Rhinolophus ferrumequinum: one gene and its partners. The protein of the gene in region 3 interacts with the protein of the main gene of each other region in a pairwise test. Links are inferred from orthologs where the notes say so. Each region holds a gene or a part of one and is shown on either strand. Other genes may lie near its edges. The genes, in order: AATK, TOR1AIP1, PPP1CC and SH3RF2.

The links.
Region 1: the proteins of PPP1CC (region 3) and AATK interact in binary tests that used the Homo sapiens proteins (3 or more experiments, as listed by UniProt). The link is inferred for Rhinolophus ferrumequinum from reciprocal best matches to the Homo sapiens genes PPP1CC and AATK.
Region 2: the proteins of PPP1CC (region 3) and TOR1AIP1 interact in binary tests that used the Homo sapiens proteins (3 or more experiments, as listed by UniProt). The link is inferred for Rhinolophus ferrumequinum from reciprocal best matches to the Homo sapiens genes PPP1CC and TOR1AIP1.
Region 4: the proteins of PPP1CC (region 3) and SH3RF2 interact in a two-hybrid assay, tested with the Homo sapiens proteins (2 studies listed by BioGRID and IntAct). The link is inferred for Rhinolophus ferrumequinum from reciprocal best matches to the Homo sapiens genes PPP1CC and SH3RF2.

Annotation. Positions count from the first base shown.
Region 1 is NC_046304.1:54,201,854-54,209,043, forward strand, and holds the start of AATK (serine/threonine-protein kinase LMTK1), read right to left. Parts: upstream 3,010-7,190; 5' UTR 2,922-3,009; coding exon 2,867-2,921; intron 1-2,866. UniProt on the Homo sapiens protein: May be involved in neuronal differentiation.
Region 2 is NC_046305.1:12,610,146-12,617,637, forward strand, and holds the start of TOR1AIP1 (torsin-1A-interacting protein 1), read left to right. Parts: upstream 1-4,474; 5' UTR 4,475-4,883; coding exon 4,884-5,361; intron 5,362-7,032; coding exon 7,033-7,110; intron 7,111-7,492. UniProt on the Homo sapiens protein: Required for nuclear membrane integrity. Induces TOR1A and TOR1B ATPase activity and is required for their location on the nuclear membrane. Binds to A- and B-type lamins. Possible role in membrane attachment and assembly of the nuclear lamina.
Region 3 is NC_046308.1:6,336,631-6,344,356, forward strand, and holds the start of PPP1CC (serine/threonine-protein phosphatase PP1-gamma catalytic subunit), read right to left. Parts: upstream 3,008-7,726; 5' UTR 2,814-3,007; coding exon 2,759-2,813; intron 1-2,758. UniProt on the Homo sapiens protein: Protein phosphatase that associates with over 200 regulatory proteins to form highly specific holoenzymes which dephosphorylate hundreds of biological targets.
Region 4 is NC_046307.1:19,167,360-19,175,208, forward strand, and holds the start of SH3RF2 (E3 ubiquitin-protein ligase SH3RF2), read left to right. Parts: upstream 1-4,836; 5' UTR 4,837-4,951; intron 4,952-6,011; 5' UTR 6,012-6,117; coding exon 6,118-6,495; intron 6,496-7,849. UniProt on the Homo sapiens protein: Has E3 ubiquitin-protein ligase activity. Acts as an anti-apoptotic regulator of the JNK pathway by ubiquitinating and promoting the degradation of SH3RF1, a scaffold protein that is required for pro-apoptotic JNK activation.

The DNA of each region.
Region 1 (7,190 bases), on a different chromosome or scaffold from region 3:
ACATGACCTTGAGAAGTGGGCGGGCACCACAGTAATTCCCACCTTACAGATTAAGAAACTGAGGCATGGCAAGAGCCACAGGGTCAGGGCGGGGCTGATCCACCACCTGCAACCAGGGGGTCCTTAGGGAGAAGCTGGAGGGGGATGGTGTCCTCACACCTGCTCCTGGCCAGCAGCCTCCTGCCCAGAGACCACAGCCACCCGCCGGGCACCTGGTAGGCCTGAGACTGGACGGGTGAGAAACAAGGTCAGCGCCCTGCCTCAAAGCACTCCAGCGGGAGAAGCCACCACGCTCCCTCAAGGCCACACCCGCCAGCCCGGCTGCTCCTGACCATACGTGGCACCCTCGACAGCCCTCAGCCCCACCTACCTGGTCTCCCCAGAATGAGGTTTCACCTAGCAGGACTGAGTCTCAGAGAAGTTGAGTGACTGGCCCAAGGCCACACAGCACTGAGGTCACGGGGCTGAGACTGCTAGGAAATCCCCAGTCACCCACGTCCTGGGGAAGAGCTGGGCCCCAGAGCAGACAGCCCTCTGGATGCCCTCCTGCACTGGCCACATCACTCCAGGAGCAGGCAGTCCGGCCTATGCCCCCACCCCCCAGCTCCCAGGCCGCGCTCAAGGGTGCACCTAGGACCAGAGCCTCAAACTCAGTCTGCTTCCTGCGATACACCTACTCCGCCGCGCCCTCTCTGTGGGGACAGCCACGGAACTCCACGACGGATGGAGAGCCGACATGGCAGCAGGCCTGCCTGGCGACGTTGGGAGGACCCTCTGCCCAGGCCCGGGCCTAGCCCCTCTGCCCCCCGACTGTTGAGCACCACAGAAACAAACTCAGATGGCCAGGAACACGAGCATCCCCTGCCCTCCGAGTTTGGTGGACCCCCAGCTGGGTCCCCCCACAGACATTAGCAGACCTGAAAAGTGCCATCTCGCTCCACTTCAGGGATAGAGAAAAGCCATAAAGACACTGGCCTTATCTCCACGCACCTCCCCAACCCCCAAAATAGCAGTCTCTGTTTACTGAACATCAAGTTTTCACCAGGCACCTAACCCCCACCCGGGCCTGGAGGGATAGAGGTCACTAGCCCCTTTTACAGATGAGAAAACTGAGGCTCAGGAAGATAAGATTGGGCTGTGGGACTCCAGGGGGTGGGTGCCAGGCTCTGAAAGCTGGATGTCTAGCAGCAGGGCAGGGGACCCCATCTCTCCTCCTCCCAAATGCTCACATGGAGGCCAAACGAGCCCTGCACCCCAGCCCATTACCCAGTACCACCATCCAGGACGTCCCCTCCTGCAGTGGACACAGGTCTCCCCCTCACTGACCCGCACAGTGGAGGCCACCCCTTGTCTCCTGACAACTTTTCTCTGAAAGTCATTAAACTGACATTATAATTACACTGATCATAGCTGTTTACACAAACACAAGGCAAAGCTGCGCTGTTTCTCTGAGGTGGGGGCAGGGGCTCGTGCCCCAGTGCACCCAGGTGTAGAAAGGGGGTAACAATCCCACACAGGGCAAGTCTGGGCCCCACAGAGCATGCAAGAGGCAGGGTGTGGAGAGGGCCTCCCCCATCCTGGCACCCACACTGCCAACAGTTCCAACGCCAGGAGGCCTGAGCCGGACCCCCTCCTCCCGGCAGACACACTGCCGGAAGCACAGGACTCAGGACCCTAAAGGTTGTCTGGGCCTGGGCTGCTCAGCAGGGCCACCTCCACCCCCTGCCCTCAGGGCCCAGCCAGGGCTTCGGCCTGGATTCCGAGCCCTCAGGGGTGACATCATGTTCTCCAAGCCCTGGGAGACGCCTGGGAAGTCATTTCTGAGAGAGGGACACCCACACTCTACGCCCAGCAGACAGCCCTGCTGCCAGCTCCACTCTCGCAGGAGCAAATGCCTTCAGATGGGGCTGTGCCCAGGGGACCCTGTGCATCACTGCACGCACTGGGCCCTGCTCCAGGGAGGGGACCCAGGAGAGCTCGTCACGTGCGTGCCCAGCTTTGTTTGGGCTGGATTAGCCTGTGCTGGAGCCTCAGTGACATGTAGGTGGACCTTGGGCCCCTGGGCCATGGCTCCAGGGCAGGGGTTTAATCTCCCACTTGGGGAAGGGGGGCCAGAGCCGCTGAAGGCACAAGGAAGATGCAGGTCTCCAGCTATCCCGGGGCCCCTCTGCCCACCCCAGGGGGCCAGGCAGCCATGGGCAAACACGCTGACAGGGCCACCCACTTGGGGTAAGAGGCCTGACCCCAGGACTCCAGCAGCCGTGCAGCCCCGGCCTCCCTTGCTCTCTGAGGCCTCACTAAGACCCATCTCTTTAGAGCCTCTGCCCGGTGGGCTGTGTCCGAGGGCGGCCACTGCTCCCACCTCTGCACGCAGGCTGCTGGCTCCCAGCCCCAGCCCCTTGCCTGGGAAGGAGTCTCCCATGCTAAGACAGAGGGCCAGCATGGGGCCAAGGGGGCTTGGGCTCCAGGGGCAGGGGTGGGGGCACTCCCTCACCTCCCCCAGGGCCCTCAGTCCTGGCAACCTTCTCACCTGGACACCTGGGGCAAATACAGGCCCTCCTGCCCCAGTTATCTGTACCAGAAACGTCTACAGAGACACAGGGGTGGGGGGCGCACCTCTGCTGCCCACCCACACTGCTGGAGGCCTCAGCTGTGCTGGGTACCGGCCCCCAGGCCTGTCCACCTTCACCGGCCCCAGGCCTCTAGGGGGTCCCGACGGAGAGCCAGTCCTTCTGTGGGTGGGGAAGGGGTTAATTTCCATGCAAAATAGGAACCGGCGGCTCAGGAAGCATCATGTCCGCAGTGGGGGACGCGGGGCAGCGCAGCAGGCAGCAGGCTGGCGGCGGAGCGCGGCGAGAGGACTCACCCGGGTCGAAGTGCGAGCTGAAGGCGAAGCTGGGGTTGAAGAAGGACGACGACATGGCCAGGGCCAGCAGCTCGCGGGCACCCGGGGCGGCGCTGCGCTCAAGACGCCCGCGGCCCCGGCCTGCGCCGAGCCATCGCCCGGCGGCCGCCGCAGGTGCGGAGCGCGCCCTGCCCGCCGCGCCGGCCGAGCGCCCACAGACGAAGCCGCGGGGCTGGCAGGCTGCGGGGCCAGCGGGGTGCGAGTGCGGTGTGGGTGCGGGCGGCGGCGACAGACGAGGCGCCTCCGCCCGGCTGGCCGCGGCGCCGCCGGGCTCCCGGGCTGGTGCAGTCCGAAAACACTGGCGGGAGCGCGCGCGGGGGTGGCTCCCTCCCGGGCTGGGGGGGCACGGAGACGCGCGGAAGGGGGACCGGCAGGCTGGGGGGGCACGGAGACGCGCGGAGGGGAGACGGGAGGCTGAGGGGCACAGAGACTGGGGGCGCGGAGGCTTGGGGGGCGCGAAAACGTGAGGAAGGGGGACCTGCAGGCTGGAGGGCGCGGAGGCGCGGGGAGTGGGACACTGAGACGCAGGATGGGGAGGGGGTAGGAGGCGCGGGGGGGCACGGGGACACGGCAGCAAACGCGGGGGTGGGCACCGTGGCACTCAGAATACGAAAGCGCGCGCAGGGTGGCCGGGGACGCGCCCGGGCCCACGCTCACGGGGTCGGGCCGGCACGCGGCCTGCACACGCAGGTTCTGAGGCAGCGTGGGGTCCGGCCCCCGCGCCCTTTGGGCGGCGCCCGCGCTAGCGTGCGGAGGGCTGTTTTTGCACACCGAGCACGCCCGTGCCACGCTGCGACAACCGTATAGAAGGAGCGGCCTCCCCCGCCTGGTGTGATCAGCACCGGGCGTTTAGGGCGGGCGAGGCGGCGCCGGGCACCTAGGGACTGTCCCCTCCCGCCGCCGCGCGCCGTGCCGCGCCATCTTGCACCGACGCGGTGGTGGAGAGCACAGCAGGACAGGTGGGGGCGCGGCGGCAGGGGTCTGGGGACCCAGCCCCTCCCCACACCGTGGGAACCCGGAGGATTACAGTGTAGCCGAGATTTAAGTTTTCTGCAACTGAGCCACTCATCCATCCATCCACCCATTCATTCTCTGGCCAGATGAGCAAAGCCCCTTGGCAGGGCCCAGCTGGAAGGGGGGGTAGGAGCAGGAGGAGGGGGCACCTACCCTCAGCAGGGCCCCGCGGGCCTTGGGGAGAACAAGGATCAATGTTACTGGCAGGGGGCCGGGCAGGGACACAGAAAGGGTGGTGAGGACCAGTCAGTCCTTGGTAGAAGGTGACAGGATGTTCCCTTCTTATTCTAGGGTGGCTCCTGTGGGGCCCCCCTTTCCCTCAGACATTAGGGGTTCCCTGGTGTGGGAGGCCCCATGCCACCTCAGGCCTGAGGAGAGGGACCGTTGTCCAGAACCTTCTTAATGGCCCTGATTGTGTGGCTACTGCTCTGAGTCGTTCTGCCCCACAGGCGGGTGGAGGAGGAAGGAGCTACAGGTGTAGTGGCTGGTGGAGGGCCTGGCCTGTAAGACGTGCTCAGATCCCAGAGCCAGGAGGGGCAGAGGCCACTGGTGGCGTTGATGGCTGAGGGCTGCGATCCAGGACTACACCCAGTGTGGGGGGCTGGGTCCTATTTGGAGGCCTCCCCTTCCCACCAAGGAGGCAAGCCCAAGACTGCACAACTCCCATCGGGATGGCCCTGCCTCTACCCACTCGGGAAGGGGACCCAGACACCTGGAGGTTCCTTGGGGACAGGCAGGGGTGACCAGTGGCCTAAATTGCCTCTATCCAGAACCTCTGCACCACCATGGCTGGCCTCAGTAATCAGAGTCGGAAGACGGCTCTCCATGACCTGGGTTTGCCCGTGAACCCATGCACGTCAGCATATACTGGCACATGGAAGGGCCAGATCTCGGGGACTTTAGGGTTACAGGTCCTCCTCTGGGGTCCGGGTGGGGGAGGGGAAGACCCTCTGGCTCCAGGGCCAACACTCTCATCCCACTTGACCAGATGCCAGTTCTGCCCCATACATCAGGGTCCTCTGAGATGTCACCAGAACGAGAGTCCTGCTGCTCCCTTGGCCTGGTGACTGTTGAACTGGAGGTGCTCCGAGTCCCCCGTCACCACCATTGATCTGTCCCTTCAACCAGTACTTCCCATGTGTGGCCAGCGACCACACCCTCACTGCTCTCTACGGAGTCGTGCAGGGAGGCTGGCACTGGAATTTACAGGGAGGGTCTGTCAGCCTGCTACCTGGAGATGGGGACCAGAATTGCTGTCCTTCCAGGTCCCCCAAGGCCCCCAGATGGTGTGACAAGGGCGAATGGGCAGGACAGAGCCCTGCGGCCCTGGGGAAGGCAGAGCTGAGAGGCTGGGGGCTGGCCTCCTGCAAGCGGGTCTGCCTGACACTCTCCTGGGCCTTGGAGCCTGAGGGCCAGTGTCCTCGCCTCTGAGAAAGAGCAGAGGACCTGAGTCCCAGTGGCAAAACCTCATGCTTCGTGCCCTGGGCCTCCTGGACAGTGTTGGGACAGGGGCAAGGAGAGGGATAGGTCCCAATGAACAGGGCATGCAAGGGTGAGGGTGGGCAGGAGGGGACCTGCAAGTCTGGGGGTGACCAGTAGCCAGTCCACCTTGGGGGCCCTACCATGCTGGCTTCTGCTGATCTCAGGATGGCAAGAGGTCCCTAAAGACGTGCCCTCCCACCACCTGGGGGCAGGCAGGGCACCACAGAGCCCTCCACAGCTCAAGCAGGGGCCAGGCCTCACAGTAGTGAGGGCAGGGTACCAATACCTGGGTGACCAGGGTGACCACTGCCCCAGGGGTACTGGCAGATCACGATGTGCTTTCAAGCACAAAAGCCAGGCTGGCAGGGACGCCGCTTCCTGACTCCTGTACCACAGGACAAGGAGTGTACCTGGGCCCACGAGGACCAAGCTGACTGGCAGGAGCCTTAGGCTGAGTGTACGGGGGTGACAGGGGCACTGTGGCTGACAGTGGTAAGGACAAGTCTTGCCTGCCCCACGCCAGGGACCGTGCAGGGCGAGCATCCTCCCTGGAAGGAGCTGACCTGAGGGGGCCAGGCCTAGCCGGAGCAGTGTCTGCAGAGGGCTGGGCCTAGAGGAGACCCAGGAAAGCCTGAGGCATTAGTGGGATGAGGGGAGAGGCCTCCCACGTTCAGGAGCATGTGGGGTGGGGTGGGGGCCACACTGGACACAGGTGAGGTGAGTGAGACACCAAAGGCACAAAAACTCAGCAATCATATCAGCAGATGAATGGATACACGCCATGGCATGTTACAGGTGAACGGATACACATGATGGCATGTTATTGATCCATAAAAAGGAGTGAGGTGCTGACATGCTACAACCCGCATGAACCTCGAAAACATGACGCTCAGTGAAATGAGCCGGACACAAAGGTATGATCCCACTTATGTGGGTCCCGAGACTCCCCCAGCGCACAGACGGAAAGTGGATTGGCGGCTGTCAGAGGCCCGGGGACAGAGGAACCGGGAGTGACTCTTAAGGGGTACAGGGCCTCTGTTGGGGGTGATGGAACTCTGCAAGTAGCCCCTGTGAATAAGCTGTTAAAAACACTCACTTGTGCAGTCCAAAGTTGTGAATTCTATGCTACATACGTGAATTATATTTCAATAAAGCTGTCAAAAACAAACTTAGGCATTAAGGCAACTAATATTTTACTGCAATATCTTAGAGTCAAAATTAATGAGGAAAATCTGGGATGAACACAAAACATCACGCTTTTGAATCAAGGCGGGAGCAGGAACACAGCGGCTGCCTGGGACCTCCGTTGTCCCCTGGCTCCTCCTCCATGGTAGCCTCTTGTAAGGAACAGTCAGTGGACTTGCGGCCTCCCTAAGCCAGTGTGACCTCATCTTGGTCACATCTGCAAAGACCCATTTCCCAACAAGGTCCCATTCACAGGTACCCGTGGGGGTGGTTAGGACATGGACATATCTTTTGGGGGGCATCATTTCCCCTACTGCAGAGGGGAAAGCCACGGGACAGGGCCATGGGGACAGGGTCAGCACCTCTGGAGTCCCTCCTATAATAATAAGTCACATCATCATTGCTGCCCCAGCTCCAGCCCACAAACCCACCTGCTGGGTACCGCAGTGGGCATCACAGGGCTCCAGGATGCCCCTCCCCGCCAGAACTCATCACCCAGCCGGCTCCCCCTACTCACATCCCTATACCTGCCCCCCAGCCCACCCCTTTGCTGCTGCTGCTGGGGCTGGGGGAGGGGGCAGGTGCCCCTTGTACTCACATTGCC
Region 2 (7,492 bases), on a different chromosome or scaffold from region 3:
TTTGGACACCCCTGCTCTATACCATTTCATGTAAGGGACTCGTGCATGGGCGGATTTGGATTTTCGCAGGGGTCCTTTACCAATCTCCCATGCATACGGGGGAAGACAATAGTTGAGTTTTTCCACTGGGCTGGGGTCAGGGCCCCTAACACCACCCACCCTACCCTGTTGAAGGGCCAACTGTAAATCTGAAATTCCTGTTCCTGACCTACACCAATTCAAGACAACATAGAAGAAGCCTACACACATAAATCTCACTTGCCCTTTCCTCATTTTTTTCTCCAAAACACTCTCACACCCTATTTTACTTATTTTGATTTTTATCTGACTCCTATAGAATATAAATTCCAAGAAGGCATGGAGCGTTGTCTTTTGGTCTGTTCTTTCATTGCTGTATCCCCAGCACCTAAAACAGGGTCTGGCTAGTGCATAGCAGAGGCTCAAATATTTATTGGATTAATGATTCTTCATTTAACAGTGGTTTTTGATACATTCCCCTCTCAATCTTCCTCTTTTGGTAGAAGTCAAAAGACTTATGAACATTCTTAGATACTGTTTAGTAACTGACTGCAATTTCTAACTCAACAAAGAATAAGTGGAAGAATATTATACTGGGTTTAAATTTTCTTAATTTCAGTATAACACTTCCAGCTAGCCAGTTTCATTTATATCAACAGTCTTCAAAATATTTTGTCTATCACTCGTGAGAATGGGGAATAAATGGAACCAGCTACTATGTCTTTCATTCCCTTCCTCCTAATATTTTAATCATTATTTCCTTATTAAAAATAACATGTTGACTTCTTCCTATATTTATGTATTTTATCTGAAAAGTTTAAGTGTACTGAGAAAAGTCAGTACACTTTTTATGTCAAATTGCTGGAATTTATAAGTATGCTATTCTATTTGGAAAAGAGACATTTTTATTTTAAAATGTGAACTTCTTCCAGTCACTAATTTACAGTTACAAATAAATATAACATTCCATTTCTATATGATTTTACAGCATATAAAGAATTTTTACAAAACTTTTCATTTCTAGTTTAGACTAAAAATGTATTTAACAGAAGAAAGGAGTCTGGACATCACTTGATTAATTTCGTAAGTAAGTGCTTTTGCAAATATGAATACTACATCAATGTGGCCAATAAATGATAAATCTTATATTTGTTTAAAATGTACCAAGATAATTGTGAATCACTGTTTTAAAAATTAACTTATTTTGAATAATTTTAGATTTTCATAAAAGATGCAAAAATAAGTGATCTCATATACTACTGTACTCCTCACCCAGTTTCCCCTAATGTTGACATCTTACATTCCTATAGACTATTTGTCAAATAAGAAACCAACACGTTTGATATATTACTATTAACTGAACTCCAGACTTCATTCAGATTTCACCTGTTTTTCCACTAATCTCTTTTCTTTTCAGGGTTCAATCCAGGATACCACATGGCACCTAGCTAAATCACTTTTAAAAGTAGTAATTTCTTAAATTTCAAAGGAATGAAAAGAAGCACTTCCTTACCTGCTCTATGCCAAAATTTCATGTGTTTAATTCCAGCTGTAATTAATCAGGCATGTAGGGGTTCATCTTTACAACAATTTATTCCTCTGAAATAAATACCAAAATGTTTTAATTCTGAAAATAAATCTCTCCTATAATAATCTTTTGCCTAATCCATACTCTATCTTGATTACCCCATTACTGAATACGTGGGCCACTTGTCTCTCAGGTTTGTGCTATGTAATCATGCATTGGTATATTTATTATTTTGTCATTTTTTACTAATCTCTTCTCAACAGATTCTTAAAAGATAGGAACAGCTGAGAATTGTACTATGCCTAAGGAGTGCTATTTCTGGCATGAATGAGTTAAAGAAAAATTTTCATAATACTTCATTCTAGTTTAATATAGCCTTTCCAAATACAAAGTTCCTCTTAAACCTTTTATTTGGGCACTGTCTTTATACTGTGAAAAAAGCATTTATCTGTATTTTTAAAGTGCTTTAATATCTCACTTTAAGGAACAGGAAGTTAAATAGTTTAAGACACTTGACTATTTCCTCCTTCAAAGAAATTAGTATTTTTATTATAAATACATGCTCATTGTAGAAAATTCAGAAAATGAAAAGTGTAACAGAAAAATTTAAAAATATATAGCTTCAAAAAAATAACATTGTTGCTTTCTACTAGGATATAACCCCAAAGTGACTTGCTTATCTGAGCACACAAATATGACTACCATGTACAATGGATTGATAAATGACTCCTCAGTGTATATAACTGGATTTCTGCTTACCCTAAAAAACTCATATACAAAAATGATTTTAAAATGTTTCATTTAAAATAGCTGCTTTATTTTGAAATCTAGTGTCAAGAACACTAGATTTTTGAGACCTAGAACAGCTAGGTATATTGCCAGTCATTTAATCTGAATTATAATTGTTTGTATATGTCTCCCTAATACATGGCAAATTCCCAAGGGATAAAGAATACATTCATTTAAAAAAAATTTTTTAATAATTAAAAAAACTCATTAATTTAATCCATATATTTATTAAACACCTATTCTGTGCCAACATAGATGTTTAATAAATATGTGAATTAATGAGTGTTATAATTCTTTGTTATAATCCTTTCTTCTCTTACCCGTCTTCTCCTTTGATTCACTGAATTACTCTATATATCTCACATTCCCAGAGTAATTGTCTAACACCCAGAGCTCATGCCTCCACTTGGTATTGGTGGCCCAGCAATTCCCTTATAATAGTGGCTGTGAGTCTACTGTCTCTGCAGCGTCACCTCTTTTGGACATCCCTACAGTTTGGAAAACATTTACAGCAGAATATCTAGTTTGACTAGAGTTTAGCTTTGCCTCAGCTTTTTGTGATGCAAGTTGGTATTTGTAAAGTTGCTAGGTGTGGAAGGCAGGTATGACGGAGCTAGGATTATGTATTATTACACATGGATTGATGAGTCAATAATATGTAGAACCTCTTGTCCTTTCTCTTTTTTAATATGTCCCCCAAACCTAAGTTTACAAGTCTATATCCAAGTTTCTATATAGTCACCTGTTCTGATGTTTTAAAAAGGCTTTTAATATATGCACTAAAGTTCATAATATGAACTTTGTACTTTAATACTATAATTTTATATCTCTTAATTACATTACAGAACTTTTACTACCATATGTTAATGAGTAATATAATTAGCACCTTATAAAGCATGACTTAAAACAAATAAAACCCAGGTATTAAGCAAGTACCAGTACTTTTCAACATTTTATCAGAAAGTAAGTCCCACAAATTTTCCAAATATACTATCTAACCCAGGCTGACAAGGGAGAATATGCCTTTAGTTTTCCCTTAAAAGACTTTTTTTTTTAAAGTAGTATCTCCCTTGTCACTGTTCCTCCAGTTTCTTTGGCTATATTTTATATACCAAACAAAGCTAGACTAAACTAACAGGCTAAAACCTGATTCTCTAAAGTATGTAATTCCTTGTGTCTGTGACCAAATACTATATGGCCAAATATATTAGTGAAAACATAGTACATCTTAACATTTCATTAAATCGAAATTTGTGCCCAGTTTGAGCAAATGAGTTACTCAAAAGCATTCTAAGGTGATTTAAAATACTTGAAAGCATAAACAATTAAATACCTTCAAAATTTTCAGAATCCTTCATTTTAATTCGTATCATCACAATTTTTAAAATCTATTTACCAAAATCAATTATAAAACATCCTCCATGAAAGTGTGCAGTTGAAGATAACATTAATCTGTTTCAATAATTATTCAGACTTTTTACTAACTTAATGTCTTCCCTCAGTGTGTCTAAATTTGGTTGCCGATTATCCACATCTGTAAATACGGTATTTGGAGGTGAAACAAATAGTGCTTATTCATACTTTCTTATTCAGTAAAATAAACGCAGGAAACTGTAAATCAAATGCAGCGTATCCAGTCAGGTCCAGCATCAAAGTAAAAATAACGGACCACAGCTATAATTACAGCTGTCTTTAACCTACGAATTTGTTCATTTCCCTCTGTCCATGAACAGCACTAATAAACTTTCACAACAGTGCTACTGAAATAGAGCTTTTACACAAAAGCCAGGAATATGACGTTTGCTATGCGTGTATTTTGCAAATGGGAATCCACCCGAGTATGTCGGGAGTTGCGATTTTATACTCTCAACAGGTGACTTAAAATTTAAAACTGGGTAACTGCTTTCATAAGGAGCTTGAGACCAAAATTTTCTCTAAGAAAAGATGACACAAATGTATCTTTATCAGTCATCACTCCTGCTAGAGACATTTCCAGGCACGGCTAAGGTAGCAGGGGATCAAAAAGGTTCCAGAAAAACTGCGCAACAGCCTGGGGCTGGGGACTGAAACTTCTCCACCCCCGTCTCCCTCCGCCTTTCCAGAGACTCGGTATTGGGAGCCAGCTCCGGCGTCACCTGCGTGCGGGCAACAGTTGCCACGAGCAGCTGGGTTTAGGGCACGCAATTTGCCAAGCCAGTTGTCCCTTCTCTGTCGTCCCCTCCCTCTCCCCCAAGGCCGAGGACAGCGACGCCCTCCTCCCTCTTCTCCTCCTCTTTGGTGCCTTCAGCCAAGAGGCGGGAGTGACCCCACGAGCAGCTGACCCAGCACAGGCACTGCCTCTCCCACAGCCCTCGGACACACCATGGGCCCAGAGGCGGGATTGCAACACAGCAGCGACGACGCAGGCGGCAGCCCCGGCGACTCTCAACTGCCTCCCTGACCATTGCGACCACCGCCCATCACCCGGATAAGCCGTCGTCACCAACGGCAGGAGATTCTAGAGTCGTCAAAGCCATCTTCGCTATCGACTCAAGCTACGTCAACAACTATGGCGGGCGAGGGGCGGCGGGTGGAACGGGTGATGGTAGGATGGGGGATATACGTCACACCCAGGGCCCCCATCCGGGAGGGAAGGCGACGGCTCGCCCCTCAAAATGGCGGTAGCAGCGACGCGCCTGCGTACGGAACTCCTTCGCCGTCGCGCCACGGCCGGCGGGAAGTGAGGTTCTCCGAGGAGCCGCCAGAAGTGTACGGCGACTTCGAGCCTCGGGTGGCCAAAGAAAAGTCCCCGGTGAGAACCCGAATCCGACTAGAAGAGTTCCGGCCTGATTCTGCGAAAAAGGAAGTGAGAGAAAGCGCCTACTACCTTCGGTCTCGGCAGCGGAGGCAGCCGCGACTCCAAGAAGCCCGGGAGATGAAGACGCGAAGTGCCGCTCGCCCCCAGCAGCAGCACTCACCGCAGTCTCCGCTACAGCCGTCACCGGTTTCCACCCGGAGAGGATTACGGGACTCTCATTCCTCTGAAGGTGAGGCCAACGGAGGTAACAGCTCCAGCCGCAAGCTCAGGAGCGAGCGAGCGCGGCGAGCGGGCGGGCGGGCGCGGCGTGTGTACACGCCTCGGAGGCTGGTGGGCGTCCCCGCGGAGTTCGTCCCGGCCGGGGCTGGGGTGGCTCCCTCCCGCTGGAGGGAAAGCAGCACAGGTGGGAGGAGTGGAAAGGCAGTCAGTCGTGCGGAGCAGTGAGCAGAGTCGGGGATCTCTGCTCATCCCTGGGCATCAGTTTAGGAGTGTCAGGAGTGCCTTTCTGCGGTCCTTCACAAGGGGACGGCGAGTTAGGCGGCAGGCGGGACACCGAGTGACTCCGGGGTCGGTTTCATTTCGGTTTTCTCTGTCCTGCGGCTGTATCTACCAAAGCCACTTCCATTTCCTCCTTTGACACTCAGAGGCCAAAAGTCCCCAGCTGAGAATCAACGGTTCTGAGATGACCTTCCAGTGTTTTCCCATCACTATCCACGTGGGGAGAGAGGGAAGGAAATTTTGTGAGTGGGCGTTTTGTGGGCTAGCATAGTTGGTGAATTGACTTGAGACCCCACTCAAGTACATACACCGAAAAGGGGTAAGTCAGTTATCCCGAACTTGAAGCCCCCAATGTCTGATAAACTTGAGCACTGAACGCTCTTTCTCGACTATGATGGTCTCTGCCAAAAATTTGCCACGTTGGGGGCTCTACGTGTAACCTCAGTGGTTAAGTAGTAGCCTGACAAAGCAATACTTTTTTTTTAGTTTTCATCTACATGGGCGAAAAGGGTGCTGACAAAATGAATGTATAGTTTAGGTGAGTCACAGGTGAACCAACTCCCTTAATTCATCCTCTCCCACCTTGCACCCAACCGCGATCTAACGCTGAGTCACAAGTGAAGTTTCATGTTAGCCCCAGGTAAGGCACCTATGAGGTAAAAATCAGGGGGTTTGAATCACAGTGGGATTACATAGTTAGGTACACCATTGATGGATATGAAGAAGACACGGATTTTCAGTGTAGAGCAGCGAATAGGCTGCACGTTTACCTGCTGACACATTTGAAGATGTGCTGATTTTGGAAACTTTCTGTTAAAAATATGTAAGTTACTATAGGGTGTATTCACTCAATACAGTTTAGCCACAGATGTTAGTTTTATCGCTCTCAAGATTATAAAGTTCCTGAAAACAAAAATCCTACCAAATATATTTGAAGGACTATGTTGTACTTTAGTACTTATGTTAATTTCCTTCAATATCAGGAAAACTGTTTTGCACATATTTTTATTTAAATAAGTATATGTTAAATTGTATTGACTTGCACAGAGCCTAGTGCAGTTGTGTAAGTTAATTTTTTAACACATAAAGGGTTTATGTCTATTGTAACTATAAGGATCTAAATATTTTTCACTCTTCTGCATCATTGATGACGCTCCAGCTCATCTTTTAAATTTTCTAAAGTAATATATACTTTTGTTGTAAAGCATCAGTGATGGACAGTTTATTTTTGTCTTAAGAGTATTTCTAACTAGTTAAATTTATAAGTTTTGGTAAACCTAATTTCACATTTCTAAAGAAATGAATTACTTGCATTTTTGCTTATATGTTGCTATTAATATGCATAATCTCTTACCCAGATCAAATGTTCTGTATTTTGACATTTGTCATATTTATTCTTCAGAGGATGAACCATCTTCGCAAACTGTTTTAAGCCAAACAGTCTCAATGAAAACTACCAGGAGAGCACAAGAGACTCCAGGTAAGAAAAATGATTTAGGTTTTTTCCTTATCTGCCAACTTTAGTATACACATTATAGCCTGTTTAATCAAGGGTCCCAAATCATACCTCATTCAGAGTTTCAGTGAATGTTCTTTATAGGTGTTTATTGAATTAAGCAATGTGTCAAGAAAAGACAGGTTGCATACATGAGAACCTCGTAAGTACCACGCACTTTGTATATGTTAATTCATTCACATATGCACAATAGATACACCTGTTTTTGTTGCTGTTGTTTTTTTTTTAATTTTATTGGGGGAAAGTATGTTTCTGCAGGGCCCATCAGCTCCAAGTCATTGTCCTTCAATCTAGTTGTGGAGGGCGCAGCTCAGCTCCAAGTCCAGTCGCCGTTTTCAATCTTTAG
Region 3 (7,726 bases):
GGATATGAGACCAAATCAGCAGCTAGCTTATTTTCTCTCTTAAATCCAAGTTTTACCATGCAGTTATTTAAACAATCAAACATTCGTTATAAAAAGAGAAATAACCTTATAAAGTTTTATCATCAACGAGGCAAAACTTGGATAAGAGCTTCTAAGGTGGGTTGCACAAGTGATACTTAGCTTAAGGAAAAACTACTGAAAGTGCAAAAAAAAAAGAACTGCAAAGCCGGTGACTAAGATCTAAATCAACATGTTGTTTTTCTTAAAGACTTCACTTTTGAGTTGCCTTTTCAGTACTATCAACGAGCTACTTTTCAACTAGCTTAAAAGATGAGGCAATTCTGAACATGTAAAAATTCTAACAAGGTCCCCCAAAATCACACTGCCTCCATTTTCAGATATATTTAAATCTTAATTAAAATTTTTGGGGAACAGGGTTTTTGGAAAATTACAAAAATCACAAAATGTATTATAAACATCTTCTAACTTGAATCTATACATACCGTGTTTCCCCAAAAACAAGACCCAGCCGGACAATCAGCTCTAATGCGTCGTTTGGAGCAAAAATTAATATAAGACGCCAGTATATTATATCTTATCATATTATGACCTGATAAGACCAGGTCTTATATTAATTTTTGTTTCAAAAGACGCATTAGAGCTGACTGTCTGGCTAGGTCGTATTTTCGGGAAAACACAGTATACATGTGTGTATATGTATATTCAATAGATCATCACCATTTCTCTGCCAACTTAACATCGATGAGAAATAAAAAAAGGAATATAAGTATACTGTGCAGCTGGCCTTTTCCCAAGGCACTAAAACATACTACTCTATATTAATTTTAACAAAAAAAATTTTTAAATCTGGTTTTTAAGTACAATATAACAACAGAGAGAAACTATTAAGAAACAATGACTGATTTCATTTTAAATGATCCAAGTTTACCAAGGCAAATTTCTTAGCACAATTTAAAAAATAAGACTAAAATTTACAAAATCTGTTATGTGAATAGAATTATGGGCAAACCAAAACTTAAGTTAACGAGACTTAACTGATCTTAAATTTTGTTTCTAATCCATAGATTTCACATTTTCCTGTTTCCTCAGTGAAATAAAGCCCCCCCCCCCCAATCTAGCCATACATCCCTGCAGAGAAGTGCAGAACTTCAAAATTTTAAATGAAAATTTTAATAAAAAGTTCCTTTCTTATTGCAAACTGGTTCAATTGTTTCTGGACCACTGCTGCATCATATAAATCAAAGAACGGCATTAACTAGTATGAAAAGCATGGTTCTTATAATAAATGCAGGTACTGAATGAATGATAAGGTCTTCACCCACAAATGGGAATGGCATTTCAAGAGCTTTTCAGGGGTCCATTCAGTAGGTTTTTTCCTTTTCTTTTAATAACATATAAAAGGAAAATACCCCGCACAGATTAAGAAAACATATTTTCAGGAATTTCATTTTAATGACTTAATTCAAAAGATCTGAAAATTCTAACTCCATGTTCATCATGCTGTTAACTCCATCTCACAGTATTTATAGTCCAACAATATTCTAGGAGGATAATGTAAAGGCATTAAAGAAGTTAAAACTCAGCCAAATCTACATTATCCCGTGCCCAAATAAAGGGATTTGAAATCTCCCAAAGTAGACGGGCTCTGGGAACCGGAGGCGGAGGAGGGAGTTCACTCCAGCGTCCCTCTTTAAGATCCTAACTTCTTCCGTCTCCCACATCAATACGAATCAATTGCAATGCATCTCACGAGTCTTAGGTCAGCCAAAGCCAAAGCTTTATTTTAACCTTCGCTTAACCACTGGACACCTCCTTCCTTCACACATAGCGTCCTAGCTCCCTGGATTTGAAATCTGTCACTAATTGTGTAACCTTGGTCAAGTGACTTCACTTCTGTGTCTTAGTTTCTTCTGAAAAACCGGAAAAAACAATAGGACCTACCTCGCAGAAACTGGTGGCAGAATAAATGAATCTGTGTAAAGTGCTCAAAAACAAAAAAAATCCAGACACATAGTAAGCGCTGGCTATCATGATTGTAATTTATTAGACGAACGCAAAGCGCTTTACAGAGCCTGGCACATAGGAAAGATCATAACGAAACTGTCATCATCCTTGGTTTCACGTTCAGAAAAGAGCGCGGAGACCTCAAGATAAAAGACGACTTGAAAAGAGTATTTGGGAGCGCAGGAGAAGATGGGTTCCAACATTCCCTTGAGAGGTGAAGGCTGGTCACTAAGTAACAAGAAATGAGCCCCCAGACCCTAGCTCCAGGGAAAATAAAAATGAGCAAGACAGGATAGAAGCCCTTCAACCCGGTGGAACCCACATCCCATCAAATCGCTTTATCGGAGAGGACGAGTACCAGAAATTACGGAACACGCCGTCCTGCAGGTTGGACTGGGGTCCCTAACCTTCTCTCCTCCAAAGATTGGTCCGGTTTATGGGGTGCAAGGGGGTACGACCGGAAACGTGGGGGTGGGGAGCAGAGTTTTCAAATTTCCACGACCAGGAAGAAGGCTGCACTCGAGTGCAATGAATGAGTGGAGCCGGGAGAGTCCGCGGGTTGGGCCAAGTGCGGACCCAGGCCGGCCTTCCTCCGGCAGAAGCCCCCAGCCCGCGGGCCAACTCGCGGGCTCATTCCCCTCCGCTGTGCAAGCCCAACCGGCCTCCCAACTCCCCCCACCGCGAGCCCTCGAGGCCACCCACCTCCCCTCAGCCCACCCGCCGCCCCCTTCACCTTCCAGCAGCCGTTGGATGATGCTGTCGATGTTGAGTTTATCTATATCCGCCATCGCCTTCCCACCGCCGACCTTCCCGCAGCGGCGCCGCCGGCGGCTCGCGCCCGGGACTCACACCTCCTTTCCCACGCCACGAGCACAGCGGCAGTGGTGGCGGCGGTGGCAGCAGCCGCTGCGGGTCCCCCCCCAACCGCCCCGCTCCCTGCTTCCTCCTTCTCTCCCCACTGGAACCACGAGAAGAACAAAATGGCCGCCGACTCCTTAGGCAGCCTCGGGCGGCGCACGGATGCGCGCGGGGGAGTGCAGCGGCCCGGCCGGGACTTCTTTATGGGCCATAGGGCGCACGGGAGGGGGCGGGGACAGGGCGCGAGAAGGGGGCGGGGCCAGAGCGCGGGAATGGGGGAGGAGACGGTTTAGCGTAACTGCGACCGCGCGTGGGATCCTTCCGCCAAACGGGCCGAGCAAATAGGCCCCCTGGCGGGAGCGTGAATTGCAAAGTTACACGCGGTAGTTGAGGATGGGGGAAAAGATGTTGTGCGCCCTAGAACTAAGGCCTCCGCGGGATGCTGTTCACTGGGGCCAGATGTTTGCTGACCTGCTATGTGGAAGCCCAGCGAAGGAATTCGGGGGTCCTGGAATTCACTCCTTAAGATAAACCTAGGCTGGAGGTGGAGAGGGAGAATAATAGAAGTAGATTGACTTATTTTGGATTCAAATTTGCTGAGACTTGGCGGGAAAGAGAAAGATTTATTTGGTGACTAATAATAATAAAAAAGAATCTTCTCCCAGATAAATCAAAATGTTAACAGTTATTCATTCTGAGGGGTGGGAATATGGGTATTTGTATATATGTTTTGTGTGCGCTCCATAACTTTTACATTTGGCGAAAAAAATTTTTTAATCTACCCTCAATTTTTTTCATCGTCCTTATGTTTGGGTTATCTTTCTTGAACTCGGTAAATTATATAATCATGTGAAAGGTTACCCTGATTCTAGCCAGAACGAAGGAGAACGAGCGTTTGTAGCAATTAAGGGGAGAATTTGCAGATATCGCGCGTTGGAGTTGGAGGCCGGTATAGAAGAGCGAGTTTGCAGGGGCAGGAATTGTTGGCAGGTCCTGGGTTCTGCAGACACGCGAGGAAACTTTGGCCCATTTTCCTCGGCCTCCCAGCCTCCCCAAGTCCATCTCTCCACAGGAAGCCCCCAAACACCTCCGGGCTTTGCGGGTCTCCTTTATCTGGGTTTGGATGTACAGCCCACACTCAGAAAACACATCTGCTCTCTTGGATCTTGACCTTTTAATTTCTGTTTTTTCCTGCAGCGATTTACAGTTTGCAAAGCCCTTCCCCTCCCCTGAGAAATTCCTTTTGTTTTTCAAGGCACGCAGGGTGCACGAATTCCCATCCCCAAGTGCCATGGAGGTGATTGCACCATCCGGGCATCCATCCTCAGATTAGACGTGTGTGTGTGTGTGTGTGTGTGTGTGTGTGTGTGTGTGTGGCGGGTGGGGGTGGTAAGCACAGCAGGGCGCCAGTCCTTGCACGTGGACCGGCTCCTGTCTCCAGAGCGCTGAGGTTCAGAGCACCCCCTGCTCTGCTCAGCGACTTGTTTCATTACCCAGTCACCAACTGCACTCTCCAGAGCTGTGGCTCTGTTCACTAGAAAACACACACAAGTGTTGTTTGTCAGCCCAGGGCACAGAGCCCTGTTGGTGACATTCGGAGTGGATGCCCAGCGCTGTTGTGAATAGCTGGCTGTGGAGGGCAGGGTGGCTCTCCCTGGACGAGTTGAGACTCTGGGCTCCTCCAGAACAGGGCCATCCTGGCAATGACAATTAGAGCAGGAATATGAAAGCGATTCATTCAGCAGACATATTTATGGAGCACCTACTCTGTGCCAGGCATTGTTCTAGGAATGGAAGCAGGAGTGAACAAGACAGACCAGGCCCTTCTCTTATGGAGAGTCATCTAGTGAGCCAGACAGACAATAAACAAAGATGCAAATAAAAATATCAGCTTCTAATAAGTGCAATGGAGAAAGAAAACAAACACTGTACTCATCTTCTTAGTATGTGCCCAAAACTATCTCACTGAATCCCCAAGGCAATCCTAGAAATTATGTGCTATTCCTACCACACCCATGTTACAGGTGAAAAAAAATGAGACAGAGAGGCTAGGTTGTTTGCCAAAGGTCACACAGGTAGTAAGTTACAGAGCCAGGGCTGGAACTCAGGACAGCCAGAAACTAAAGCCCTTATATTCAATAAATCCCCACTGAATCCCCAGCACCCAGCACAACCCTGGCACACACTAGGCACATAACAAATGTGGAACCCAATGGACTGATCTAAGTGTGTCTCCACCCACAGTGAGAGTGCCATAATTTTCCATATACAAAATAGCAGGTGTGTTAACATCTGCTGACGTCGGGGCTGGAGAAGGACTTCAGACTGGACTGGGACATGGGGAGGGCCTCTTTGTCCACACGCCATTCTTTGCTGGGCTACTCCCCTCCAGAGTCCAGTTTTGCTGGCATGCGTGTAAAAGAAGTAGCTGGCTCTGAGCCTGAGACTGGCATAAGCTCACAGAGTAGGCCTGAACAGCTCCCAGAACACAGCCAACAGCTCTGGGACGAAAAACCTTATCCCCTACTGGCCTTTTTCTGACCTCCCCAAGGACCAGCCGACAAGCATTTGCCAGAAAAGCTACTGTCTAAATAGATGGTGTGTCCCTTCCCCTCTCTAGTTTGTCTATTTGTAAAATGAGGAGAGTAGATAAAAATGTACTTTTCGAACTGTCTTCCTTGGATCCACAGAGCTTTTTAGGGGCTTGTTGAAGATGATGGGGAGCTAATAGGGTTCTGGTCCCCAACTCCTGGAGTCAACCAACGTAAGAACCATAGCACACAGTAAGCACTCTATCAAAATTAACTATTATTACTATTATCTGCTTTAGACATTGAGCTTTCACAAAAGATTTGAAGCGGGGGGGTGTAGCTAAAGTATTTGAACCAATAGTATTTCTAAGGATACTGTAAGCTTTGAGGACCCTGTGCCTAAATGGGCCAAGCTGGTAACATGAAAGAATTAAACCACAGGTGGGTAGGAACTGTGTGTGATGAATTGGAGAGCCATCTAAGGTGTGGCCACTTCCCAACTCTGCTCCATTGGAGCCTTGTGGGATACGGTGTGGCCAGATCCTCTGAGTTTTCAAGAGAACTTGAATTTGGGGCATATGGATTTTTATGTGAAATGTTCCAATTTTTAAGTTGGTCATGAATTCCAATTCGTTTAAAACACTGTGTGAGGCTGACAAAATACATCTGTGGGCTACTTTTGGCCCTAGGCCAACAATTTGTAACTCTATTCTAGAATTTTGGGGGTGAACTCTTCCCCTTCCAATTTAATGAGCGTTATTATTGTTAAATGATTCAAAGAAATGTTGTTGATGAGGTTTGCCAGAAAATCTGGACCTACTTGGATATTGTGAAGGTTTTGTATAAAGTAGGAAACCGTAGGAAAAAATACGGGTGAAAGCCCTTCGACAGAGTCCCCAGCTTTATTTCAATGTCCTGTGGTATTACCAGCAGACACTGGTATTGTTTTTTTGCAAATGTTTCTTGAGGCCTTCCTCTGTGTGAGAAGCTGGGGACATAGCAGTGAACAAATCAGCATAGTTCTCATAGAACTCCCAGTCTAGTGGAGGAGACAGACAGGAACAGAGAAACAGTCAAAGAAGGTAATTCCAGAAAATCATGAGTTTTGTGAGAGAATTAGAAGGGATCATGTCACCACATAGTAGAGAAACTCTGAGGATTTGACATTTGAGTCAAAATCAGAAGATTGAGAAAGAGAATCATGGAAGAGTAGTCCCCCATCAAGGAAACAGCAAGTGCAAAGGACCTGAGGTAGGAACAATATTCCAGCACTGGGGGAATGGAGAAAAGGCTAGAGTGGCTGGAGTATAGTGTGAGGGGGAGGGTGTTAGGAGAGAAGGATGAAGTAGGCGAAGGCCAGATCACTCCGGGCCCTGTAGGCCCCAGGAAGACAGATTTTATTCTAAGCCTAATGGAAAACAACTAGAGGGTGTTAGGCAGAGGAGTGACGTGATCTGATTTGGTTTTTAAATAAGCTTATTTTTTGAAACAATTTTAGGTTTACTGAGAAGTTGCAAAGATAATACAAAGAGTTTCCATATACCATTCACTCAGTTTCCCCTTAATGTTAATGTCTTACATAAGCGTGGCATTGCTCTTAATTTTTCAAAAGACCTAAATCATAAAGAAATGTTGGATCGTATAACATCATATAACCTCATTAGCCAGAGAGCATCTTCTCCTAAAGAAGATCTGATTTCATTTTTAAAAGATCCCTTTGGTGTCTGTAAGGAGAATGGACTATAGGTCGGCAGGAGTGGGAACTGTGAGATCAGGGAGAGGGGCTGACGAAAAACGTAACATCCATGCTCTGAGCCTCAGTTTCCTCATCTGCAAAATGGGGATATCACTCATCTCAAAAGGTTGTGAGAATGAACTTCCCAATGTACTTGGAGAGATAATAGTAATAATGAGAACAATGATGGTGACAATAGCTAGCATTTATTGAGTGCTTACTGTGTGCCAGTCTTTGTGCTCATGGCCATTCCTCATGATCAGAGAGAGTAGATTCTTTGGGATGTGTCCAGAAGCCTTCTCCGAGGAGCGGGGTTTAGATGGGCCTTTCCAAATTTCTTGAACTATCCCTGGCCCTCATGGAGTCCATGTTGATGTTGGGTGTGTCTCTCTGAGAAGGCCCTAAATATACTTCCATCTGGACTTACCCAACAGAGAAATAAGGATGATTACCGCCTTGCTAAATGTTCCGTAGCTTCACAAAATGACTCACTCCGCGGTCGGGAAAGCAGCAAGCTGTCCTGGTGTCTGGAGGGTGGATTGCACTGCCATTTGGAACTAAGTCTGGCAAAGGGAGG
Region 4 (7,849 bases), on a different chromosome or scaffold from region 3:
ACTCCATGGCTGGGCGTGTTCTTCTTTGGGTTGAGTTTGAGTTAGAGTAAGAACCATCTGGCTCTTGGTCCTCTGATGGCATCTGCCTACCCAAAAAAGAAGGAAGATGAGAAGAACCCTACATCTATTAAGCACTTACTGTATGCATCATTTCATTGACTCCTCAGCACAACCCAATGGGGTAGGTCCTAGTAGTAACCTCATTTTATACATGAAGAATCCAAGGGACAGAAGAATGAGTAATTCGCCCAAGTGATCTCTTTAGTAACTGGCAGAGCTGTTAGATTCCAGGTCTGTTAGACTCCAAAACCATGCTCTTGACTGCTGGTTCATACTGTTTCTCACTAAACTTAAGGACCATAAGTCATCTCTAGAAAATGTGGGATGACTCTTTTTCCATGCCAGCAGTTTGGGTCACTTTCCTGTAGGTCTGATGACTGCATAGGAATACCCTAAAGTTCACGGCTTACCTGCAAACACCCTTCTGATTGAAGAGGAACTCTCACAGTTGATTTCATTGCAGGCCTACAAACAAAGAAAGACATTGTTTTATAGACCTTCAACCCCTGCCATTCCTCTTTCCTTCACATTTCCACTATTGGAAAGGTGCCCACTTTCCTCTAATCCTTCCTCTCCTTGAATGGTTCCAAACGTTTCCCGGTATCACTAGAAAACCAAAACATGGGGGGAAATTCAGCATCATGAAACAGATCCTATAGATCCATTTAAATATTTAAAACATATATCCAAATTTCTACTAGGTACTGAGGGAAAAAGGCAGCAAGAGTCCAATGATGGCTAAGAGAGTCTTCATGACCCCTGCAGTTAAAATGCTTCAGCTTTCCAGCTACCTGGACTCCTTTGGTGGATTTATGGATTGTTTTACAAATTATTAACTTTATGGCAAAGAGCCAGTCGAGTGAAAAATAGCATACCTCTAAAATTATAACTCCAATAAATAAGTACATATGATTGACAAAAATTGTCTGTACATTGGTTTTGTGATTTAATTTCAAATTTTCACAAAACTATCTTAGCCTGAGACAAAGGCCTGCTTGCTTCAGGGTAATTTATTTGGGATCAGGGGTTAGGGATGGAGAAGTGCTACAGGGAATGAGGGAGAGAAAACACAAGGATGCATTATTGCATTAGCCACCCAGTGGAAAAGTGGTATTCGTCCCACAGAACCTTCTGAAGAACCTTAGGAAATCTCAGGACCATCTGCTCCAAATGCTGAAAAGGGAAGCATTTATTACCCACTAAATGTGGTCCACACTTGGGTGTGGAGCAGATTCTCATTGGTGTCCCAGATGACATCATAGAACAGCTCTAGGGCAGGAGGCAAGAGGTGCATGGCAGGGACCTGAATGGGGTAAAACTTCTTAGCCTGAGTAAGAGATGGGGCCGAGAACATTCAGAGTGGCACCCAAGCACTGTCCAGTATAAAACCATTATCAACAGTTTGATGTACAACTGCCCAGACACAATTTTTGAAGAACACCATTCATTCATAAATCCATTCAAAACCATTCATTAAGCATCAACTGCATGCCAGTCACTGTGTTACATATGAGGGGTAAAGCAGTGACCAGACACATAAGTGCCTTGCTCTCTTAGAGCTTACAGTCTTTGGGGGGATCAGGCATTAAATAAATTATTACGTAATTGTTGAACTATAATTATCACAACTGTTATGAAGGAGAAGGGTAGGGTAAACTTTCCAGTCATGAGATTCAAGGAGGGCTTCCCTGGGGAAGTGGCATGCGAGCTAAAACTTGCTGTGGAGGGGGTAAAGAAAGCAAAGGGGGCAAGAACAGAAGAGAAGAAGAGGAAAAGTGTAACTAGAAAGTGTGTTGCAGACGGAAAGAAGAGCATGAACAAATGCCCTCTGGCAGAAAAACTTAAACTGTCCTGAGTAAAGAGAGAAAGCCAGTGGGACTGGAGTGGGTGAGTGCGGGGGAGACATGGGGGTAAGTTGAGGCAGGAAAGGTGAGCAGGAGCCAGATGATGTCAGGCCTGACGGGAGAACAAGGCTTTGATTTTAATCCTACAGTCAGTGGGAACCTACTGAAGGGTTTTGAACAGGGGAACGAGGCGATCAGATTTGCCTTTTTTTTTTTTTTTACATAAATCAAGATATACTTGTAAATACAAGCAGCAGAAGCTCATAAATGTCACACAGGTATTTACAAAAGAGTACAATCTATAATCACTACATAACAGTACAAATATAAACAGGAGTGTTGATGAGGTGGGAGCCGTGGAGGGGGTGGCCTGAGCCTGGAGTCTGGGACGGTGTGCATAGGTCACCTTTTCTGTTTGTTTTTGAGGACTAGATGTTCATCTGATTTGATGCCAAGGGTAGCACTTGGGTAAGCCAAGGTAAAATCCCTGCTTAAAATTCTCCCCCTTCTTCAAAAGCTTCAAAAGAAAATTTCTCCCCAAGTTTCAGTGAAAATTAACCTCTGATGTGGCTGGTATTGGGGACCACCTATAGGGTGTGATTTGAGAAATGCGAAAAGACCACTCCTGTTCAATGTAAACTTTCTCTGTTCTCCACTGGTGCCTAAGAAGCTACCATCACAATTCTATTCTGCTGAACCTTCGATTGCCAAATAAGCTAGTACGGAGCAGCCCACTGGATCTATCCTGCCTTCCTAGGACAGAGCTGGGTTTTATTTTGTTTTCTCGGGGATGGGAGGATTCGAAGGTTTTTGAGACCCCTGGCCCTACAGGAGCATGGAGGACACCATGAGCCTGGGCAGGTTACAGAGAGTGGGCTCCTTTGACTTCATCATTTTGTTTTGAGCAGGCCCTGGGATACAGCTGGTGTGTACAATATGGATACTATGTATAAATGTGTGCGGATTTACACAGCCAAGTATATGGGTATACTTAGGACACGCACATAACTTTATAACAGGGAGCAATAACAGTAAGGAACACAGGCCCTGGTACTGGGCCAACCTGGGTTCAGATCACAAGCCTTGTAAGCCTAGGAAAGTGACAGCGCCTACCTTATGGCAGGCGGGATTCAATGAGAAAATCTGTTTAGAATCTTGGCCCTGGTCCATGGCATACAGCAAGTGCTCTGTAAATGTTACTGTTAAGATCACCTGTGTGTCCTCATGCAAGCATGTGTGTGCATGTGCCTTAAGTGCAGATTTGGGCACCTAAGGGAGATAGAGTGTGTTTAAGAACAAGAGGGAAGGAGGAAGCATGTTCCCCAGCCCTGCAGCAAGAGTTGGGCCCTGGAGCAGACCTTTCTAGAGGCTGAGAGGACCGCAGGGCAGCTCACAAAGGAGAGAGCTCAGCTTTACCAAGTGGGAAACAGAGTAAGGCACCGCAAAGGGCCTCAAATTACAAGGAGCTTCCTGATGGGCACAGAATCTATAAAAGTGGAAATAATTGGAGACCGACAATAGAATGGGATGCGATGTTGTTGAAGCTCAAACTACCCTCCATAAAGGGGAGACTGAAAAAAAAAAAAGAGTTGAAAATGGTCTCTGAAGTGGACACTTCTCCAAATTAGACTTCTGTGCTCAGACGACAATTGACTTTGCTCCATCCTGATTCTCTTCACTGTTTTGAGCTTCACGCGTGTTTGCTTTTTCAGAGCTGACATGGAAGAACTTCGAAAAACATATAAACCACCATCCTCAGTTCTCAGGCCGTTTTTTCCCCTCTGAATATTTGCCCAAGCAGTGGTATCTAAGGGCTTTCTGCATTATACAGAAGTGCCATCCTTAGGTGGAGAGAGAAGATGCAGGAACGCCCGGTTTCTAGTCCCAGTTCTGCCCTTACCTCACTGGGCAACGTCAAGGAGTCTCTCCATCTCACCGGGCACAGCTGCCTCATCTGCAAAAGAAGTTGATTGGTCAATTTGGGTCATTATCTTTTGACTTCCTGCCATCCCAGAAGAGGTTTAGCTCCCTACCATCTCTCCTCCCCCTTAAAGCTGTATCATCACATGACATGGTACTTAAGAGTACAGACCACCTGCCTATTGCTAGCTGTGACTCCTGGGATGAGTGATTTATGTAACCTCTCTGTGTCTCCATTTCCTCCTTTGTATCATTGAGTTGCTAAAAGGATTAAATGAGTTAATAGAGGTAAAGAGTTTAGAACAGTGCTCGGCACGGATAAGGGCTACTGTGGTGTTAAGTAATATTATTATTATTTACTTTATTAAGTACCTTGGTTACTTTACATGAAATATGCTATTGATAAATCAAGAAATAAAAGGATAAGCATTATTTGGGGCTGTGAAAAAATTCTCCGGTGGGTAGGGGGCCGGGGGAGAGCTGGGACCATTGCTTTTCCTCTTTTTAAATTCCCTTCTGTGCTTTCATTTTTTCAAGGATGTGTATGTACTATTGTCATTTTGTTTTGGACGTGCCACTATTTTTTAAATTTAAAGAGATTGAACCAAAAGATCACTGAAGTTCCCCTCAAATCCCTAAATTGACTCTGATTTTTAAGGAGTAATACTTTTTAGGTGGCCTGCTTATCTTTGTTATTGTACCTACCTTTTCAGGAAATCCTCATATAGGTTAAAAATAAACAGTCACCTTCGTATGTTTATAACTGAGCGGGTTTCGACTTCTTGGACGAGAGAGAAAATGAAAAAGGTGCAAATATAAACTATAAATACTTGGCCGTAAGGGCTCACGTGTTTTGCCCCTTATAATCTGTTACATAAAGGAGGGCTCAGTAGCAGAGTGAACTCAAGGAAAACCTGCTGCTGGCCGCCCGGCGGTGAAAGAGTTAACAGGGCTGGGTAAGGCGATCCCTTGAAAGGAGTAAGACTCGGAGTTGTTAAAGTTTTCCAAGCTGCGGCAGGCAGCCAGGCAGGCAGCGTGGCTCCTGGGGAAAAGGAAGCAAGTTGGAGGGAGCCTGGCAGAGCCGTGGATCCTGCTGAGCTGAACTCAGCAGAGGTTACAAGCTCAAGGTCAGTGGTCCCCGCACAGTTCCTCAGAGCTGACATCTTTGGGGAGTTGTGTCAGGAAGGCAAGGCACCATCTCTCATCCTCGTGTGCCCAGTCTGCTCTGCTTCCTAGTGGGGCCACCCGCCGTCCTGCTGAACTTTTGGGGGGGGGGTGGGAGCTGGTGGCTGCGTTCACTCAAGCGTTGGCCCTTGTGAGGGACCCAGGACCTATTCCCAGGAGACTTTTCTAAACTGGAGACTTCTTCTTTTCAGACATCCAAAAGGAAACTTTCTGGAACAAGCGCCCCTCCCCACACACACACACACACCCCCACCCACCCCCACCCCCACACACCTGTGTATGCTGCTCCATCTTGGTTTCTGCAGGCTGTGATCACAATCCAGAATTCCTATCTGCTTCTGTTGAAACTGAGAACAATTGTCAAAGTAGCTAAACAGGCTGCATGACTTTTTCTTGTGGGAGGAATATTGTCTCTGAGGCTATTGTCTGTCACTGAAAATGAGTTTCTAGTAGAAGTTTTTCTTGTACATTGCTAGAACAAAATGATGGAGGAAAGACGCAGTGGCAAGGAAATAGTTCTACATCGGCATGAGATTCCGAGAAACTTACCCATGTACACTTGACTTGTCTGCATGTGGTGCGGGTGATAGAGAAACTGAAACCTAGGGAAACAGGGGTAGGTAGATCATAGCTGGCTTCACAGAAACTGCATCCTGAGGGAGCTTTAATTTGAGAATTGAAACCGTCTTGGGTGGTAAAGGACCCTCCTCGAGCCCTGGCTGGAAGACAGGCTAATTCTGTCTCCCTGTTCTTGCCTTCCACACAGAAAAGCAATGAGTAAGTAAGTAGTCAGTCACCGTTGAAGGCTCCCTCGGATCCTGCAGCAGGCAGGAGTTGGGTCTTATACCTGCAAGCACTGAATCAGAATGAGTCATCTGAAACTTGGGTGCTGGAACAAAGTACTTGCAAACTGCCTTATGAGACACTGCCTCCATGTAGGTGGGGTATAGCTCTCAGAGCAGTCACATTTTTTTCTCCTCTCATCCTTTCTCCTTCAAACAGGCAGGAATTTTGACGCTCTCAAGAGACCGGCTCTGCCCCCCTGGCTTAGCTAACCCTACAATGTGGACTCTGCCCCTGCTGCTCAGGATTGGAGTTTTAAAATAAGATGGATGATTTGACGTTACTTGATCTTCTGGCGTGCCCCGTGTGCTTTGAAAAACTCGATGTCACAGCCAAGGTCCTCCCTTGCCAGCACACCTTCTGCAAACCATGTCTCCAGAGGATTTTCAAGGCCCACAAGGAGCTGAGGTGCCCCGAGTGCAGGACCCCGGTGTTTTGCAGTATCGAGGCGCTGCCGGCCAACCTACTGCTCGTGCGCCTGCTGGATGGTGTGCGCTCCGGGCAGAGCTCAGGGAGAGGGGTCTCCGTCCGCAAGCCTGGTGTGCTGACCTCACAGGACAGCAGGAAAAGCAGGACTAACCCCAGAGGCCTGCAGTCCAGCCCTTTCCGGCTCGTGCCGAATATCAGAATCCACATGGATGGGGTAAGAAAGATCTTATTTGTTCGTATTGTGTCCCCCTTGGAGGTTGGATTTGTGTATGCCGGGAGTGAGGGGTTATCACTTTCAGTTAGGTTTCAAACAGGTGCTGCCAAGGATTCCTCAGAGATCAGTTTCTGTGGGCGGCGACCATTTTACTGAAATTTGGTGGAATCCTGAGGCTACCTGCTCATTCCAGGAATTCTTTTAGAATCATGAAAGCGTCCCAGGTTCTTCTTGCTTCTTGTCCAGAAGTTAGTAGGACAAGGAAAGCCTTCTTGATTTTATTTTTGGTCTTTCGCTTCTGTTCTGAGGCTAATCCAGTGCACAGAAAAATGCAGAGGACGGAGGGGAAACAGAGAGAAAACAAACTCACATGCATGTGGCTTTGGGGAATCTTGGAGAAGTTTCCAAATGTCAGGTTTTGTTTGAATTTTACCCAGATCCATGTTTCCACCCTGGTCCCCGTCATAAAGTGCTATTATGACAATGTTCATTCATAATCTATTCAAAGCTATCAAGGTACTTGACGCCCAAGTAGGGTACAGGAGGGAGGTGTGTGTGTGGGTGGACTGATGAATAGGAATGGCTGGGCTGTGAAGCATAGATGTGAACAGGGGCCCCGCAGATATGTCTTACTTTACAAAACGAATAAAACACACATCACATGCACATCAGCGGCTGCAATTAAAAACCGAACGGGCCCAGCAGGGCCATATAAGGTATCACCCAGTGATGTGTTTGGTGTTTGGACAACGTGAGTCGCCATCAGCCTTGTTGCAGGAAGCTGTGTAAGGGCACGTCTCGAGAGAAGGACATGGTCCTGTGAGTCCAGCAGGATTATTTGCACTGTCACCCCAGGAGTCAGTGTGCCAGCCTGAACATGGCAAGCTGTGTCCTGACCCGTTGGCATACTTAGAAAGTCAAAGCTGCATTCTGTGCAGTGTTACCTATTGCGAGCTTTAAAACAGGCAGCAGCATTCCAGGACTTGGGGCTGTGAAGAGTAGCAGTGGGTGGGAGCATCTTCTGGAGTCCTTCCCAGCGAAGGAGAATGGGCTTGTGATGTGTGTTCCGAACGATTTTCTAAAATATTCCTTCCAACAGTTCACTCCTCCTTTGGTTCACTGCACCTTCAAGCCGCCCATGCGGGACGGGAGTGTGGAACCAATCAAACATGAGAGCGGGAAGAAGCGGGGCGTTGGTGCGGGTTCTTCATTGCTTTTTACTGCCATTGTGCTTGTATGTGTGAACACATTCCAGAAAAGGGCTTGACACTCTTCTTTAAGATTTCCCATTAGTCCTAGGTCCAGCCAGCAGTCAGAACTCACAGGCCTGGAAAAGGCAGGATGGGGGTGGGGG